Drosophila melanogaster: one gene and its partners. The protein of the gene in region 3 interacts with the protein of the main gene of each other region in a pairwise test. Each region holds a gene or a part of one and is shown on either strand. Other genes may lie near its edges. The genes, in order: CG34208, TMEM216, CG14086 and CG3598.

The links.
Region 1: the proteins of CG14086 (region 3) and CG34208 interact in a two-hybrid assay, tested with the Drosophila melanogaster proteins (one large-scale study listed by BioGRID).
Region 2: the proteins of CG14086 (region 3) and TMEM216 interact in a two-hybrid assay, tested with the Drosophila melanogaster proteins (one large-scale study listed by BioGRID).
Region 4: the proteins of CG14086 (region 3) and CG3598 interact in a two-hybrid assay, tested with the Drosophila melanogaster proteins (one large-scale study listed by BioGRID).

What each region holds. Positions count from the first base shown.
Region 1 is NT_033778.4:22,331,267-22,334,050, forward strand, and holds CG34208 (uncharacterized protein), read left to right. Parts: upstream 1-1,859; 5' UTR 1,860-1,885; coding exon 1,886-2,038; 3' UTR 2,039-2,239; downstream 2,240-2,784. Other genes in the region: T3dh (type III alcohol dehydrogenase), read right to left, coding at 1-366, 582-666, 729-778; pgc (polar granule component), read left to right, coding at 931-1,146.
Region 2 is NT_033777.3:8,714,627-8,721,836, forward strand, and holds TMEM216 (transmembrane protein 216), read left to right. Parts: upstream 1-1,616; 5' UTR 1,617-1,942; intron 1,943-2,269; 5' UTR 2,270-2,498; coding exon 2,499-2,715; intron 2,716-3,222; coding exon 3,223-3,416; 3' UTR 3,417-3,745; exon of another isoform or gene 3,746-3,830; intron 3,831-4,571; exon of another isoform or gene 4,572-4,706; coding exon of another isoform or gene 4,707-4,962; intron 4,963-5,177; coding exon of another isoform or gene 5,178-5,371; 3' UTR 5,372-6,694; downstream 6,695-7,210. Other genes in the region: CG8112 (uncharacterized protein), read left to right, coding at 1-550; Cks85A (Cyclin-dependent kinase subunit 85A), read right to left, coding at 811-1,042, 1,113-1,171; CG11760 (uncharacterized protein), read left to right, coding at 4,707-4,962, 5,178-5,371; CG8136 (uncharacterized protein), read left to right, coding at 6,914-6,935, 6,997-7,210.
Region 3 is NT_037436.4:19,274,000-19,280,428, reverse strand, and holds CG14086 (uncharacterized protein), read right to left. Parts: upstream 4,639-6,429; 5' UTR 3,837-4,638; coding exon 3,710-3,836; intron 1,501-3,709; coding exon 1,440-1,500; intron 1,390-1,439; coding exon 1,315-1,389; intron 1,045-1,314; coding exon 796-1,044; intron 732-795; coding exon 605-731; 3' UTR 510-604; downstream 1-509. Other genes in the region: CG14089 (uncharacterized protein), read left to right, coding at 1-303.
Region 4 is NC_004354.4:2,935,413-2,938,576, forward strand, and holds CG3598 (uncharacterized protein), read left to right. Parts: upstream 1-1,614; 5' UTR 1,615-1,715; coding exon 1,716-2,534; 3' UTR 2,535-2,661; downstream 2,662-3,164. Other genes in the region: CG3592 (uncharacterized protein), read left to right, coding at 1-507.

The DNA of each region.
Region 1 (2,784 bases), on a different chromosome or scaffold from region 3:
TCTGCCAATTGGGCAGTTTACATAATCCAAAAACTCTGCATTTGCATCACTGCTAAAAAGATTAGCTGCCTTGGCTGTATCCATGGCAGATCCTCCTCCGATGGCCAGAAATGCATCGAACTCCTTGCCGCGCGCAAACTCCACGGCATGCCACATGCTCCCATCCGTGGGCTCCACCCGGGTTTCATCATAGACTTCGTAGTTGATGCCATTACGAGCCAGTGAATCCAAGGCCACTTTCACGGAGGGCAATTGCACGACATTTTTATCCGTGACCAAACAAACCTTCCGAGCTCCCAAGTTGCGAAGATCGGCTCCCACTTCGGCACTTACTCCCGGTCCAAATCGAACAGTCGAGGCTGACATCTGTTTATCAATACATTTGACCAAATTTGAATTAGAATTTGTTATATACCGAACAAAATTTAAGTTAAAAGTATTCACAAGATCTAAAATATAAATTCTATTGGGATGCTTAAGAATATAGAGATAGTATTATCTGGTCCAGGGTATGACCACCTGTCTAAAGATGAGAATCTACTATCTGGAGGTGCTCCAAAGTCCAAGGTTTTGCCACTTACCTCGAAGGCGTATTCCATGCGACCCGTTTGGGAGGCGGTTGGAGCTGCTGAGCCATAGTTATGCGAATGGGCGGGGCACTTGCAGCTATAAGACCATACTTTATTTAAATCACTTGAAATCAGTTATAAAACGCAATTTTTACTTACGAGTTGGCCACGATCGTGTTGATCAAACCTAAGACATTCTTCCGCGACATTCTGTATATAAATGAAATCAGCTGGACTGGTCTTTCGTTTGATAAGAACCCGCCGAATCGATAGCTGGCGCCAAAAGACAGCACTTCATAATCGATAGCTAACAATTTGAAATTCTCTGTCTTGCAGCTTTGAACTACAAGAAGACCCGAAAATGTGCGACTACCAGATGGAGTACTCCTTTATTTTTGAAGACAGCTCCTGCGAGGGCGATGCCTCGATGGCATCCTACGACAATGGATTCGAGTCCATGTGGCATCAAGTGCGCGAGGAGTTGCAAAGGGAGCGGGAGATGAATGAGCTCTGCCAGGTTTTCCAGCAAAACTTGAGCCTGAGTCCGCCGGTCATCGCGGATAGATGGAGATTCTGACTGGACCTCCCAAAAGCCAACTTATTGTGATATTTGTAAATTATAGTTTTAGCAGTTCGTTTGCCACATGAGTGGAACATCGTGAATGCACTTTTGATAAGTGCTCGGTTATTTTATATTGTAACTACCAGCCTTCAGAGGCGATCGTATGCATAGTTTCTTGAAGTCAATTTGTCCGTGTATTCAAATGTTTGCTTTCGTGAAAACTCGCATTGTTTTGTCACTCTACCAAGTAATCAATTTGTACCAATCAATCGCATATGGTTGTCCTAGATCTAAAAATGGCAATAATTTGCCTTCGGTATTGCACCTAATGTATTCAAGAACAAGTAGGGAAGCTCGAAATTTCTCAAATACTTACCCAAAAAATAGATAGAAATATATTTTCGATTCGCAATCGTTCAAAAACCCATTCGTTTTTAATTACGGGTCCCACAGTAAGATGTGACTGCGATTCAATTGTAATGGGAACAATTGTTCCCATTACAATGGAGCTAATTACCTAAATGTATGTCCGCCCATTTTTCGCGCTGGATTTACAACTCAATTTGCCGCGCTATCTGGCCGATCTGCGAACATAAACTACTGGCAATGGTAAACGATGTTGACGGCAGTTTCCCTCATTAGCATGCAGATCGTCGCCGATCTTCTGGGCGCCAGGCCATAAAACGTTTGATTCCAGGCGTATCGTTCAGCAGTTTGTGTTGAACTGGTAATAACTCGACATCGCGATCGCGAGATGAAGTGGCTTAGTTTGTTCCTGGTATTCGGCATCCTCGGACTCATCGGCAGTCTGGGCACTTTAGCCCTAGCGGAACCCAATCCGGAGCCCAAGGGTCGTCCGCACACAACGCGACGTCCTCGAAACGATAACGACAACGATCGACGCTAGCAATCCGAGCGGCTGGAGGAGATGGAAAAACCCACGAAATCTCCCCGAAGATGCACCGAACCACAAAGGACACAGGAGGCACAGCGACTCACGGTGAAGGTGAAATGTTTTGGAGTCGAGAAAATGCAATATGTTGAGGTGCTGCTCATCTAGCGAGTGGCATCTTCCCGTGCACAATAAAGACTCATTCGTTTACAACAGAGTTTTGATCATGGGTTTATTCGATAGTTTTCTTCGACATAGGTCTACAGTTAAATTGGTCAGCTTAATGATACCCTGACGCTCTCGGGGATTCTTCGATACTGATTGATTGGCGGATAAAGCAGGCTGACTGACTTTCTTTGGTTGTGCGAGGGTTTTTTTTGGGGAGTGCGTTTGTATTTACCATATATTTGATTCTGTTTCGGATTTTACCATTACCATGCGATATTGAACGTTGCTTAGGGCTTATCATAATTTACAAAGTGCCGCATCTTGCGGCTTATCAAATTTAATTCAATAGTTTCCGTTTCCATTTGCTTAGCTACGATAGTTTCGGTTACAAAATAATTTCAATTTATCTAAATTGCAATCGCATCTCCAGTGCCCAAATCGGCTTGTAATTCAGTGAGTATATTACCGTCACGCAATCTGCCTCTCACTTTTAAATCGGTTTAGAGCTATCTTTACAGTTACAATTACAATTAGAATTACATATATGTGATTGATTAGACTAATGCAGTTTGTTGGAGTTGGGGTGGAGTTTT
Region 2 (7,210 bases), on a different chromosome or scaffold from region 3:
GCTGTTCGGCATGATGCTGCCCAGCGCGGTGATCTTTCTGTGCGGCTTCTACCTAATCCTGCACTCGTGGCTGAACTTCACGTCGGAGCTGCTACGCTTCGGTGATCGAATGTTCTACAAGGACTGGTGGACGTCGCACACTTACGATGGCTACTACAGAAACTGGAATGTCGTCGTGCACGACTGGCTGTACGAGTACGTGTACAAGGATATGTACACTCATGTGTTCCGAGGTTCCAAGGTGGCCGCCTCGCTGGCAGTGTTCATGATCTCCGCTGTGGTCCATGAGCAGGTTCTCGGCTTTGCCCTGCAAATGTTCTTCCCAGTGATGTTCTTCTTCTTTGGGGTCGTGGGTGTTGCCTTGGTATTCCTAATGCGGAGTGCTCCAAAAGTGATGGGCAACATCTTTCTGTGGTTCTCTCTGATCCTGGGAAATGCCACGCTGATCTCACTATACGCCATGGAGCATTACGCCCTAAAGAACTGCAACCTAAGCAACGAGAGTTGGACGTATCGCCTGCTGCCGGCGGTATGGCGCTGCTACAATTAGTCAATTAGTTAAACACTACTTTTAAACTGTCTGTACACAGGGCGTACGCTTCGATTTGTATTTTAGGTAAATAAACTTAATGAAATTAACAGAAACGATGTCTTCAGTTCGTTTCGTGTCTTTGAACTTCCCAGCTGAACCCTAAAGCTATGGTTTCTTATTTTACATCAGGCTGCCTGATGCTAACTTATGAAATACTACGTGAGCATTGACGAGTGCGTCCTTGGAAGAGCATTCCTCGGCGGCATGGCATCCTCCGCCTAACCGCAGAGATTCGCGATGGCCTGAGCCGCATTAGCGGCTGCCACCTGTGGAGCGTCCTCTGCCGGAATGCGTTTGCGTCGGAATAGAATCACATGCGGCTCCGGCGCGTGGACCATGTAGTGCACCCAGCCGGGGCTCTGCTGCACGCCCAGGTTGCGCCACTCCGTCTCGGTCATCAGATGAGCCTTCGGCACATGTTTGGCCAAATCCGGTGGCAAGATAACATGCCTGCAGGGAGGGAAAGTGGTTTGTGTGTAAACAAACAGTTCACGGATGCTGAAACGCAAGTTGAACGTACCTGTATTCAAAGTTGTCGTCGAAGTACTTCTCTGAGTATTGAATTTGATCGGCCGGCATTGCGAAAAGCCAGAAAACCTGAGGTAAATTAAGCAATTTTACCAAAATAGGTCAATAAATTCAGATAGATATGCCACAACTGATTCGATTCTAAATACTATTGTTATCGCTGCACGTATCGAACATAAAGTTATCGATTTGGTTATCAGCTGTCCAGTTAACAGCACCTTTGGCGGTAAACTCAAATGTACTGTTTTTAATGGCACGATCTTAGCGGGCTTTAATATATTGAACATAAACTTTTTTCTGTATAACAATATTTTTGCAATGTTTAAAGCCATTTTAAAGCCATTTTGTTAAAAAAACGAGTACTTTGTAAAAAGATGCTGTTAGAAAATGTTAACATATTTAGCGAATGAAAAACTCAATTGGATAATATGTGATTTCCAGTGTGACCGGAACTCGCAGGCTCGCACATTTTCCAAATGCAATCGGCAATTTCTCCGTTACTCGCCCATGGCCACATTTGTGCATGTGCGTTTGAGGTTCCTTTCCTTTTTATATAAGCCCCTCGTCTCTTGCCAACAAACCAACAACAACAACAACCAGCCAGGCCAGCGGGCAACAACAACGCACAACAACGCGTATAAATAAACGTGAACGCATGTACTTAATATTAGCATAGAGTTGTCGCCTGCGTGCATTTCATATACATAACATAACATCCACTTACTCCCATGACAACGGGACTTTAGACAGTAACGGTGGAGCAGCTAGAAGAAGAGGAAAGGCGAAGTAGAACGGGAACAAGAAGAAAAAGCAGTGGAAGAGGTGAGGACGATACGTAAATACAGTCAAACTTCCATAAGTAGATACGACTTTACTACTACAATAAAAAGTGTCCTTTAGTGATGAAGAAAATGGGTTCTAAGAACCTAAAACCTTTATGTATATGTACTCCCTATTGTCGCTTAATGAATTTACCGTTACGGTATGCTAGTAAATAAATGCATACAATGTACATATGTAGATACATAGGCACAGCAAAACCACCTATAAATTCGATTGATTTTATGAAGTTCTAGTTGAGGAAGTTTGACTGTATGTATGCGCGCATTGGTAAATACGAGCAGACCGCAATTAGCAAATATTTTTCAGTCCAGCAGGTATCACTCACCACGTACCGCCCAAAGGTCCCAATGCTGGCGTAGAGAAGCCGAAACACCTGCTGCTGCCAGTGGAAAAGCGGGAGGAGCTGCTCCAAACTGCCCAGGTGACATCCAATCATTTAGAGGCGACGCACCTGCCGCCTTGAGGAACTGGTCGCCACGCAGGAGGACACGGATACGGCAACGGTTACGGACTCGTTTCCGCAGTAGCGGGCACCATGAACGCCAGCCTCATCTATGAGATACTTATGTATCTGAACTCGTTCTACTTTGGCATGTACGCCGCCTTCGAAGTGGGCGTGGGCGTTCTTAAGGCGATTAATCTAAACTACGGCGAGAACGCGTTGTCCCGGGAGGCCAGCATCCTGCTCTCACTGTGCATCATCGAGACCGTGCGCATTGTCTTCGGGCGGAAGAGCAGTCTAAGCGATCGTGGTGAGTAATCCCCATGATCCCCATGTTACTGCAAGGGTGGGAAAAGTCCACCGGCAGCGATGATGACATGGCGAAATTATTTGTTTGCCCGGTCACAATGCCCATTTCATGCCATCCCCCTACCTCCGGGGCCATAACCCATAAACGTTTGGACGGGCATACATACATATATGTATGATGTAGCCCACTCGGCGTATGCGTAATTATGGTCATCACCCCGGATGAAAACACGCGTTTTATGGTGGCAGGGGAAAGGCGCCCTTCTGGCACATTAAGCAATATGCAAAGGAAATCTATCAAAGCGAATCATCGAAATGAGTTATTGGAAAAGCAATTGGAGCTGTTAATATTAATTATCGCAATGTGTAAACATGAAATTATTAGTATAATACTTTAAAACACTGAATCACTTTCAATCGAATACACTTAATTATAAACAAGTAGACGAACTATACGATTTTCCGTGCATCTGTAGCTAACATTTTCCTTGTTTTTCTCTCTTTGCAGGCTGGCAAGCAACCGCATCCGTAATATTAACACTGCCCAGTCTTGCTATTGTTATCTACTTGTGTTGTTTTCAAACCTTTGTTCTCAAACTCGAAATTATTCTGAGTGCCTTAATGATCACCCTACAAGGTGCTGAACTAGTCTACGCCAGCATATTCATTTGTACAATGTGTCGCCCCGTCACATACACCTAGCAGTTGATAAGCCGCGTTGCCGCCGCCACGTCAACGACCAAGATCGAGATCAAGACCAAGCCAGCACTAACACTCCCACCTGGAGGAGAAGGAGTAGAAGCATCCACAGCCGAGCGACGACTACGACGAAGACGAAACACTTTCCTCTGGCAATTTCACATCAAACGATTCGCCAAGGCCTCAAAACTAAGCCACTTAAATGCACACTAAGCCACCGCACATAAAAACAAAACAAAAAATCTAGATCCTACTAGACCTCCTAGGAATCCGTGCCAAGACAACCCGATAACATACCCAATGGCTGGCAGTTGAGGAGGACTTTCAACAAGGTACGTGAACCTTTATAAACTTATATAATCCGCACAGATCATTCGCGCCCGCGGAAATCACATCGCAGCGAAACACGACGCGTCCGATTCTATCAAAAGCAAAGCTGCATTTAATTTGCATTTCTTGGTTGCATTCTTTTGCCCGGCCTTTGTGGCGTTGCCTCCCTGCTGGCGCAGTTGCTCCTCGGACCCGCTCGGTTCTGGTATTTTTATACGGCTCTGATGGTCTAAAATTATATGCGAACTGCACGGCTCGTGCAACACCGCTGCTGTCCCCTAGGTGCAATGTACACTTCTAATTTGAATGTAATATACACGGCCCACTGCGGGCAAGTTAGCCTGACTGTAATGGCCAAGATGAGAGGGCTCTCCGTTTGGTCTTTGGTCTAGTGAACATGCCCTGTACGATTCACAGGAGAGAGATTCACGGGACTTTAGCGAGGCATAACGCTTTGAGTTTTTAAAAATAATTAAAATTCCAACAATGGTTTTCATATATTCACCCTAAACCTATCCTGAATTTCAAGGTAACCATTTAATGGCCCTGGGCCCTGTAGAGCATAACGCCCAGGGAGTTTTTAGTAGTTTTTTCCCCCCAACTAGCCGCCAGTGAAATCATTCTCCCCCACATTTCTAGGCAGGCGATCTGCCGGCCAATGCTGACCCAAACAGCGAGCAGAGAAAACAAATAAAAGGCGACAACGACCAGCAGCACATTATTCAAATAAACAGCACATTTCGCAGCGACAAACCGTGAGACCGCCGATGTCGATGCCGCTGCCGCTGCATTGGCCAAGCACGGCAGGTTCGCGTTATTATTATGGTCAGTCTATAAATACAGTGCCCAACGTGAGCAACGCCGCCGTGTGAGCGATCCGGGAGATCAAATCGGTCCAATTTGCCGTAGACATCGAGGGGTAACAGGAGAAGCAGCAGAAGGAGGTGCTAAGCCGGCAGAAAGATGCCGCCCAAGCGTCCGCCACCGCTCGTGCCGAAGAAGCCAAATCCCAGCATGAACTACGAGGTGTTGATCTACCTCAACTCGTTCTACTTTGGCATGTTCGCCTGTTGCGAGATGGCCATGGGCCTCCTGAAGGCCATCAATCTCAGCTACACGGGACATACTCTAGCCCTGGACACGGGGGTGATGATTAGCTTCATTGTCTTTGAGACGATCCGATTGATAATGGGGCGCATGAGTTCGCTGGCCGATCGAGGTAGAAGCTCCCGCCTGCTGGCTGGTCTAATTATAGGATATTCTAAAACAATAGAATCATCCTCAATGGCGTTATCAATCGTTTAATCAAACCAAACCATTAGACTTAAGAAATACTAATTAACTCATTATCATCCTTATTTATAATTGTAATAGAATAGTATCTATGGCTTTTACAATCAGATTCTAATGAACTCTTCTGCTTTTCTATCACAGGCTGGTCGGCCATACTGTCGGTCTTCATGACCGCCCCCTGCTTTGTGGGCGTCTCCTATCTACTGCTGCTCCAGACCTACCGACTGCGCCTGGAGTACTGCCTGTGCACGCTGCAGATCGCCCTTTACCTGACCGAGGTGTGGTATGCCATCGTCTTCGTTTTCTCGCTGTGTCGTCCAGTAACTTATGATTAGCCATATAGACAGAAACATCCAACAGCCAACTAGCAGCAAATATACATGCGAAAGTTTAGCAATCTATAAGATCGAAAAAGGATAATATGCGGTGTAAGGAAATTTAATGAATTTGAAAAGCAGTAGGCAGCTGAATTGCTCATGGCCGTGGAGAAGAGAAACCAAACAGAAAGAAAAAAAAAACAAAACAAAACACATATGTAGCATATTAATAATTATGTATAGTAAGGTTTATGATAACATACACACACTCTTATATACATATATTTAACGGTTTTATATACAAAAATTGTTAACATTTAAGCATCAATTGGAACCAATATAAGACAACAAGCAAAACCTAAAACTTGAATAATTTTCACAATTTTAAGATGAAAATTTTTTTGTAAAAAGAAAAATATCGAAAAACAGCCGAAAAACAAATTTGATGTGTGGAAATAATAATTTATAATAGTTCACAGATAGCTCGAATCTTAAAAAGAATTGTAAAAAAATCAGTGGAATGTCTCACAAAATCTAGTCAGCATCAAAATCATGAAAAACAAATGGCCGAAAGGCCATTAAAAAAATTCATTACCACTAAGAGTCAGCGTTTAGTAGTTCATACCAATATTCAAAAGGCGGAGAACAACATAATTAAGCCCAGTTAAAAGTCTAGACCATGTGTGTACTTTAATGAAACTACTTTATATAAACCTAGCAAATAGCGTAAATAACATTTTCAAGACGTCACTAAAAACAATGCAAACCCGAGCGGGCAACCGTTTACTAGAAAGCGAACAACAAATTAGCTAAATCATATAAAACATTTATAGAGTGTTAAAAACTAGGCGAAAACCCTCCATTACACTTCTCCCCAATTCAGCCTATTGGCAACTCGAAACGCCCTTTAAATCACGCTCAATTATCCCCGCCTGATAGGATCCGAGGATTGCAGCTCCTCCAATGCTAGTCACTAATGTTCACAAACATTTTCTAAGCTAGACCGAAGATTGTGTAATAATTTGATAAGACCTTTGTGTGGTTTCATAGCAAAATAACGCACAAATCGATAACAAAAACTCTCAACAGTCCACAAATCTCATGCTTTTAAAACAAAAGAAATAATTTTACTGAAACCAAACAGCTGGAAGCTAGAAGCTGAAAGAAAACCAAAGCCACATCCTACGTTGAATAATTTACCTGTATAATATTTATGTCATTTCGTTAAACGCAAAATGTTAACATACTTTTAAAGCGCGTGTAAAACGGATAGTTAATAAAATAACGACAACAATATTTAAAAGAACATATACACTCGATGAAAATGAATATTAAAGATCGAAAAAAAGAAAAAGGAATCTGTTATTAGTAGGCCGTGGGTTCAATAAGATCTTTTCGAGTATGATAGGTGTATTTCGTTTTGTGCCTCCAAAATTTCAGATATTATTCAGCTACACACAGACAGGCCTCCCAAATTTGTAAGCTCTGTAAATTCAAAACCAGAACTGCTGCAGGCCAGTGGCGAAGTTAATTTGTCAGAGGAAAACTCAAGCCATCTCCATGGATAAAAACCACAAGTCGGGTGAGTCAAGCCGAGTGTGGCATCCTTAAGTTGTTAAAACTATGTGTGTTCTTTGCTCCAGAAGAGGGGTTTGGACGTTCAATGTCTAGTAGCAGTCGCCGCGTCATGTGGAAGCTCAACGAGGAGGAGGAGACATTCGACTCCTTGGTCAATTATCGGCGGCTTCCTTCGCGCAGCCTAAACCGAAGTCAGGTGACCGATGTGCCCACCAAGGGACACACTACCTCCGAAAATTGCCAGCTGCCAGCGCAAGAGTTGGAAACAAAGAGCGCCAC
Region 3 (6,429 bases):
CACCCCGGGATGCCTGGAATCCCTGGCCAACCTGGTCCTCAGGGTCCTCCTGGATATCCCGGAGGTTCATATCCACCGTATCCGTATCCTCCACCTCCTCCTCCTCCATCACATGGACATGGAGGCCCTAAAGGCCACCAGAGGCACTACTATAACTACTATGATGAGGACGAGTATGATTACGGCAATGAGCGTTCTTTTGGTCTGAGAAAAACCGAAGAATTCGACGACCAGCCCTTCATTTTGGCCTTTAGTGAACGCAGAAATCCGTTTAGCACAAAAAACAATAAAAGACGAAATTAAAATAACATTATTTAAAACGAAATAGCTTTGATAATTATTTCTGTAGGTAAAAAGCAGATACCCAATACTTAAAAGGAACTTTCAAAATTCTTTTGAAGAATGTCCTTTTTGACTTTTGAGTGGCTTCGTTTATAAATGACACCAAAAATCATACAAAGTGTGGGTTTATCGATTACCTATAAAAATATACCACGCACTCAGCGTTTAAATCGAAACCTCTTTACAAACTGTATATTATTAGACATTTGTTAAGTCGTTTAAAATCTCACATTACATTAGGCAGAAAAGCTGGCTTAAACTATTAGCAAACATCGTCGTCTAGGGCGGTGTGGTCGTCGCCCTCCTCCTCCGCTTCCTCATCCAATCCCGCTTGCGTGGCACCAATCTCCGCGAAATCATCCTCCATGGTATCCACAAAGCTCGACACCCTATCATCGCAGAACAAACAGACATTAGAAACAAATAACAAAGACATTCGTTGGCTGGCATCACTTTTCAAAGTCGCACTGCGGCAGGAGACCCTCCTCCTTCGAGGCGCTGAATCGGAGCAGCGTGCACAGTCTGAGGAGTCCGAGGAGTATCAGGAACATCCCGGCCACATAACTCAGCCACAGATTGTGGGGATACAGGATCAGGCAGATGCCGATGACCGCATAAACAGGAGTGGGTCGCCAACCGCCACAAATCGCTGAAAGTCGCCAGCAGGCCAAGCAGCTGCAGGACCTTCGCTGGTAATTATCCCTGAAACAAATTGAATTCACAAATATGTGAACAGAGAAAAATTTGCAGAGAAAAATCTGAGCAAAGGCACTTGATATAGAGTATTGTATATAATAGTAAAGTATATCATATTATAGTATAATTAGGGTTTAATTAGTTTTACAACTACTAGGCTTGGTAACTAGAATTTCTATATTTCATAAATAATAACTGCTAATTATCAAATAATATATATACGAATAACTATAATTTATGAACATGTTATTTGGTAATCTTGAATAGTTTTCTTACTCTGCGCACTGAAGTTGCAGGAAGATAGTCACAAGCCACTTGATCTCGATAAACATTACCAGCACGGCTGAAAAACTAACCAGAAATTAGTATAGTTATGGGGGATATTTAGATCCGTGACTTACACTATATAAAGACCGGCCCGATAGCCATGCATGTAGACATCAACGCCAACGCCGCAGATAACTGAAATGAAAAATGGCTAAAGAAAGGTTCGGTGCGGGGGGTCCTTTTTGGCGGGTTGAAACGAGGAGTGTTATCCTTGAACGAGCCTATAAAATAATGTGAGTGTGTCTAGGCAAATATATTTATAAGCATATTTATTGAGCTGGGCCTTTTTTGTTTACCATGCTTTGGCCATAAAATGTAATACAAAACCAATGAATGGAAACGAGGTGAGCTCAAGAAGTTTATCGCAATTTTACTGAAGCTTACATCATTTGCAATAGAGTATTTTAAGAAGGCAATGTCCTACACATTACGAAATAACATAATGATAATTAATAATAAATAGCTTGGAAGAAACTTCAATATTCATGACGAACTTAAATTTTATAACTTAAAAGGTTTCTATATTTTTGTCGAACAGCCCTCCGCAGGGCATTCATATTCTAACCACATTATGGTTCCGCTTCACATTTTGTCTTAGCCAAATCCACTTTGAGTGTATAAGATATGGTTAGATGTGGTTATGGAGCCACCACGCCCAGTGGTCCATAAAAATACAATCTAATTAAGTTGTTTTTATTATGCCGGGTCGCGAAAAACCAATCAGATTAGCCAGTTAGATATATGTATATGTATGCCCCATATTTAAGCACAACTGCAGAACCGAAACCAAACCAATTACATTAAATGCTGTCAACGGAGATAAAAATTGAAAAAGCGGAAATCGAAAAAACATGCAAAAATTATCTGGATAATTGAAAGCGGTGGGGGAAAAATAGATGCCGGGCAAGAGGAAAACTTGGCGAATGGCTGGCGCCTAAAGGCTAACAACACAGCTCATTGTCGACCGTATGGAAAAGTTGCTGATAAGGGGAAAATCGGGCTGGGAAAACTCTGCTCTTGGCACAGGATGCCAGTCGTGAGCTGCAAGCTGCAAGCTGCATAGAGGCCAATGCCTTGTTAATGGCTCTGCCAGAGAGTTTCCTTGGAAAACCCCATCCCTCTTACCCGATCCCTATAATGCGGAGCTTATGAACTACAGAGATTTTATACTTTGTTTTCCTGCGTGCCACTGCACCCATGATGGACCCCAAAACAATTTGCAAAGAAATTAGTTTGAACTTGACCCGAAGTTTTTGTTGGCCTGCCTGCAGCTGGGCGATTTATCAAATTCTGTATAAAAAAACGGCGGTGCACTATCTTAAGCGCATTAGGAAAATGTCAGATGGTGGAGGAAAATCGTTATGATTGGCCACGATAAGCGTTTAAGCCAACTTTGATAACTTCACCAGATGGCAGAAAAATTGGGATGAAAAAATGTGATTGCATTTTCGTAGATTAGAATGCGGATACAGGGTGAAAAAGTTACGTTGTGCAACCAAACTGAATTCATTTCAGAAAGGTAATATTATTATTTATTAAGTTTTTGCTTCACTTTACCTTGCCTGTTTAATAAATTAAATTTGACTTCGTAAATTGACAAACGAAATGCCATTAAATTTCAGGCTGTCAATCTAAAATTATTGCCTCAATTTAAACGGAAAAAATGTAACACAAAGCTGGGTTGTACAAAAAAAGCATAATTGAATTGTAATTAAATGACGCAAAAAAAGGGAAATTAATCTTCTACCAATTTACTCTCTGTGTTCTATTTAATTGTTAAGCTAAACTGGAATTTCAGTAGTATTGGATGGCATTTATTTATTTTACCAAATTACATTAGGTCAAATATCCTGTTCATTAGAGCACATATTCTGTGCTATATGTGCTCTGTGAATATGGAAAACCATTTCCTTTTATGTACATTTATTTTGCCAGTCTTCTCAAACAAATGCAAAACCTTTGTGTACAATGAAAATATTGCTCAAAGAGTAATATTATATGAATTGAAAGGAACAATAAAAGCAGCCAATAAGAGCGTGTCCCCATTCAGCATCGTCTTCGTCTTGCGAATCCCATTCAGTGCCAAGAAATATAATAAGCCACAGCACTCAACATATCCCGAGGCAATGGTTCCCATGCACAAGTATTTCCTACGATTTGTCAAGGGTAAACATTCCAAATAAGGGCCAGAAAAGCATTGCACATTCATACATAAATGCATGCACATGCACATGCATCATAGCCTCGTATCGAGATTGGCATTATCTCGAAACGGGGGTCACCTGGGCACCGGCACCGACAAGTCTTATTCCACTGGCTCGGATTTCCGCGCACTTGAGCTTACCGAATGAAGTCAGCAGACCAAAAACCCTTATCACAGGACGAAGGCACTCGCACGGCTCTGCGGACTGATTGCGGCGATGATGACGGGCGCGGCGAACGCGCTGCGATTGCAGTTGCATCTGGCTCATGGCTGACTTGGTTATATATATATATATATAGATATTTACTTTATGAATTTCTATCTATATTTGTTTTATGAATCGCCAAAAGTGCGGCTTTATTCTTAATATCTTATTTATTGGAGCTCAAGTTTTTCTTCTCCTTCGTTATTACTGATGACAAAAGTCGAAGCCATAGCATTTAAATTTTTGATTAATGTGTAAGCTCCACTTACTTAATTTCCAATTTATTTAATATATTTATTCGTTTTTAATTTCACTTTAGAACAATTTTAGTTTTTGGTTAAATTCAAATTTTCAATGTACTACTTTCTAATCCTCCATAACTTTAAATACTCTCATCCGAAACTGACGTTTTAGGTCCTGTCCAAGGGAATCGCTAATAAAACAATCAAAGAGCCGTATCCACATCACAAAAATGCACTACGTGCCTGGCATACTAAGTGGCCAAACAACTTTGCGATAAATATTTTCAATTCCAGCTCGCACAGCTTTTAAATTTCACCATTTAACTCGGGCACACACTGCGTATTCGTAATGTGACATTTTTCGCACCTCTCCTTCCATTGCCTTTAATCACCGCACCGTTTGCTTGTGTGTGTGTGTGTGTGTGTGTGTGGCAACTAATGTCTGCAAATTACCGTTACCATTTGCACTTTGCCCCCGCACGTTGTGTGCCCTCTATAATATATATTTTTTTTATTAAATATTTTTCTTATTGTTGTTGAAGGTTTGTAACTTTTTTTATTTTTGTCAAGTGCCACTTTGCCACACGACTTTATGGCCGAGCTCTAAACAACGAACGTCCGCACGCTTCCAGCGGCGCCAGCAGAATGAAACTGAATGAAAGGACCGGCCAGGATTCGTTTCTATTTTCGGAGTCAGGATCCAGAGTCGCCGCTCAGGCTGCTTTTCCCATTGCTTTTCCTACTGCCACTGACTTTGTAGCCAAATACCAGCCAATGGGGCGGCGCTGCATTCGAAACTGCTAAGTTGATTTGTTACGAGAACGAACGCGTAGTGTTTATTTCTTTTTAAATGCGTTTTTGCGATTTAATGCTGAGATTTATGGAGACCGCAAAATTTATCCATGTTGTTTTAAAGATGTTTTTAATTGGTTAGCTGTTTTTGACATCCACTATCATTTGTATTTGAAAACTTATTTGGCGTTGGCAGTATGAGAATTCTTTAAAACTATGCTCTTGAAATATATTAATTGAAAGCAAGAATATAGGGCTGATTTTTAACTAGAATAATGCTTTAATTTCAATCAGAAGTTATTTAACTTGGTTTTTTTTTAGTATTGTAGTAGGAATACAATTTTTGAATTACATTGTTAATATAATTAAGGAACTCAAATAAATAATTAATTTTCTTTTTGTCTTCAGTATTTTAATTAGAACTGTTTGTATGTTTTATCTCTTTTTTTTTGTAAAAAGTGTTTCCTCTCGCGATTTATTGTGTAGCGTAGCGCATTGGGTCAGTCTTTATAGTCCTGCGGTTTTTTACAAGAAGGCACCATGGGCGAGAGCTTAATATTGTGTGTGATTTAAATATATTCCCACCCGAATGCTTACTTGATTACGATTTTTCCAAATGTAAAAGAAGAGGGAAGTATGAAATTTACCTACGATTTTACACAACGAAAATCTTACTTATATGCACTTGATAAATATTCTACCAGGTGTAAAGATAATCTTTAACTATTACAAATATTGAAGTTTTAAGCCTAAAACAGGATTCTCGGCCCACTGCTCAAAGCCAGCTTGATTTTATTTGTCACGTTGTCCTGTGTGTGAAGCCAGTGCCTCATGTTGTTGCCACTGCTCAAGCGGCTCTGTGTGTGCGTGCCCTCGTCCTGCAGGTCCTGTGGATCCCCGCACCCGTCTTTGGCCACGTTTCAGTAATTTTCATAACTGGCTGAATGGTGAGCGGAGCGGCGGGAGGTGTAAAGAAGCTCAAAAGACAACCAGGAGCAAAGCTGAGCAATTGCCAAGAGGCGGACGAGTACGCAGAATGTGGACAAAAACATTTTCGGTTGCTACACCGCCCTCATCCTCATAAATTAAATGGGGGCCAAATTCAGGAGAGGGGAAGCACGAGTAAATATTTTTTTAGCTCCTCCGCTTATTGTCCTGTGCATTTGCTAAGGTGTCTGTCGTCAGGCTTGTTTGCATTATGCGGCGTTAATGACATCCAAAGTGGCAGCCGTCGCCCCAAGGAAAGTCTCCACTGTCGCCGCCATCTACGACATAATTCACAGATGCCCCACACTCTGAAAAGTTAATTTCCTTAAGGAACAGCTCGAGGATTCTAGCGAAATACTTCTGAAGGTCGTCCTTGATACCGCCTCCTGCAGTTGGAGTCGTTTGTCCAGGTCTTCTATGCTTGCAATTGGTCTTACACTGTACACAATGAAAAAAGTTGTAATTTGCAAAAACAAAATTTTACATTTATTGTAATGTTTGTTTGTTAGTTAATGTCTTTTAGATATGGTTAGAGTTAATTACTTTGTAGCCATTTAAAAAAGGCTTTTTATAATTTATTGATCCAATTTGGTGTCCTCCTCACTTTGATAGCTGTTCTAATTTTTCTCATTTGC
Region 4 (3,164 bases), on a different chromosome or scaffold from region 3:
TTGGTATGCCACTCCTGGTGGTTAGGAGACTTCATCTCCGAAAACCGGCTCAACCTTCTGCACATGGTATTGGGAATGGTGGGACTTTGGCTGGGACTGGTGGGGATATTCGCGAAGAGTATCTTCAAGAGCAAGATACATGAGCCGCACTTTAATTCCAAACATGGATTGTGTGGCCTTTTGGGATTCCTGCTTATCGCTGGGGCCGTGGCCAGTGGTTTCGCCCTGGTGTGCTTCACCCACCTGGCTCTGCACGTCATCCACCGATTGATGGGCTTGTGTGGCTTTGTGCTCCTCTCGTGCAGTCAGTGGTTCGCCCTCAATTTGGGATTCGCACGACGGGAGTGGAGTAGTTGGAAAATTAAAAGGCTCAGGATCTCCACGCTGGCCGCCACCATTTCAGTGGTTAGCTACGAGTTCCTCTGCCTCTGTAGAGACATTGTCCATTTGCTACCCAACAGCTGGTTCAAAGCCATCGGATTGAAAATTGATCACCTTCACAATTAAATTTTATGACCAAGCATTGTGAATAATTAAATTGAAGTGCTGAAGGCAATTGCAAAATGTTTATATTTTCTAAGCCCTACCATATAAAAAAGTAAATCACACAAAAATTACATTTATAGGAATTCTATTCAGCATGACAGCAAATATTTGGAAGATCAAGTGAAGTTTGTTAATCAATTTCGAAAGAAACATTAGCATACTTTCTGACTTTCAACTGAGAAATCCCTTGGAAAACAAAAACACTTTAATATCTATGCTTGCTATTTGGTCATATTGCAGTATGCCTAAGATTTTAAACAAGTTTCAACATTGTTTAATTAAGAAATAATAAATTCCGTGTCAAAAATTGTAGATTTATTGCACGACTAAAGAAAACAGTAAAATTACAGAGGGCTCGCATGTGAAATATTGGCCAACCTTCAGTCTTTCACCTGTACAATTGGCCATTTCCACGCATAAGAAGCCTCTTGGCTGGCATATTAATCACGGGACAAAGGCATAATTCCATCCCAACGTGGCTCGATCAATCAGCGATGCTGGAATACACATTTGCCCCCTATACCATACACCCCTTTCATCGATATTCACATTGGTCATTGGGTATATGACCGGTGGCCGGGGATGGGATACGACCACTTCGCATGCGTCGCTGACTCCGAGAGCAGGTCCATCATAGGTTCGGATCGGCCCTTGACTTCTCGGGTTTCTCGGTCTCTTGGGATGCCGAGATTTGTGCGTGTCTCTGATTGTTTTGTCATTAGCATGACCGCGGCGCTTTTTTTTTTTTTTGGGCCTTTGGTGTTTTTGGTGATCTTCGACTTTTTGATTCGGCGGCTGCTGATTTATTCAGCGCTCTTTCTTTTGTCCCACCGGCGGGTCACTGACATTCGTTTCTAATTCTATTTTTCACCATTTTCTACATTTCTTCCACAAAATTTCGCCACTTGAAATTATGCCGACATCGACCGCAATTATGACCAATGTTCTTGTGGCCTGAGTGGGCTCTCTCTTCTCGGTTTCTATGGGTTCTAGATTATGGATTCTGGATTTTTGGCCAGAACTTTTTCGCATAAAAACCTAATGCCGCCGCCACAGATCGTACAGTTCTGTTTGGGCCTTGCTTACAATTAGGATCCGGTCGGCAGTAAATCTTTAATTTCTGTGCACTTTACGTCGAGAAATCTTCAAAAAAAAAAAAAAAAAACAAGATGTCCAAGCTGGGTGCTATCTTGTTGGTGGGCTTGTGCCTGTTTGTGGCCGTGGCCTTGGCCGAGCCACGCCTTCAGCACGTTCAGGGGCGCAATCAGGTGCAGGGTCAAAGGGCGCAGCAGCATCCCTACCTCTTCCTGTCAATTCCCAAGGGTCGGGCCAACGCCGGCGCCGTCGTCCAGGGCTTCGAAATTGTCGAGGAGGAAGATGATGATCTACATGATGAGGACCAGCACGATGACGAGACGGAGGATGACGAGGAACTGGAGCATCAGCTGGGCCTGAACTTTGCCCGCAGCGGTCTGGCTTACAGGCAGAACCACGCTGATGACGAACAGGACGATGATCAGGATCAGGAGCAGGATCACGTTCAGGATGAGCTGCCCAAGAAGCAGATGATGGTTAACCGGGATCAGGCTGGTGCCATTATGGTGCCCGATGGCATTATCGAGATCGAGGGTCAGAGTGTTCTGGACGAGAAGACCGGCAAGGCGGCTCTCCTAGTGCCTCGTGCCGCCCTAGACGCCATTCCCGATGGCGCGGTGGTGGCTCTTATGGAGCGATCCGCCTCATCCGTTGATGAAATCGAGGAAGAGCGCGCCAACCGCGTGGTAGTTCGTCGCCGCAAGAACAACGGACGCAGGAACATTCGCCGCCGCGGCATCAACAACAACAATATCCGACGCCGCCGCCCCGCCCAAAGGCGTCGCCGAGTGGGTGGCAACCGCAGGCGCAATGTACGCGTCATTCGCCCCCAAGGCGGCAACCGTAGGCGTGGCAACCAGAGGCGCCGCGGACAGGTCGTATTCCAGGGTTGAGACACGAAACGAAGGTCGTCCTAGCCCCATTTCTATATAGTATTATAGTTAAGATCCCCTAACGATCAGGACAAGAAATTTGAGACACTTGATGACGATGCGACAAATAAAATGTGATATGAAAATTATAAATATTTTTTTTCGTATTTTTTATGGGTGGTGAAATTATGATGTGAAATTAACCAACATGCAAAGACTATGGTTTTGAATCATTAAGTTGAAACTTATTTTAAAGGTTTTGCCGTAAAACATCGTATACTACTTGTATAACTTTATTATTTATTTATCATATATGGTGTACCATTTCCTAGCAGTGTATAAGATACATAAGATTGCTTTGCCTCAAAATAGATCACTGCTTAGCTCCATTGATAGAAAAATTTGCATTTATCATGGAGTTTATTTGTATCATGGTTCAGCTTTATTCCAGTTTATCCTTTAACTTCGACACAACCTTAGTTATAAGTCACTTAATGCCCATAGGCTATCAAAAGTATGATATATGAATTAATAACTGCAAATTTTGTATGATAAAGGATCCGAAAATCAGATGGTACACACATATATACAAACAATGGTAGAGAAACTCATTTGAGAACATCTCTATAGAACTGTAAAAGTTTCGTAGTA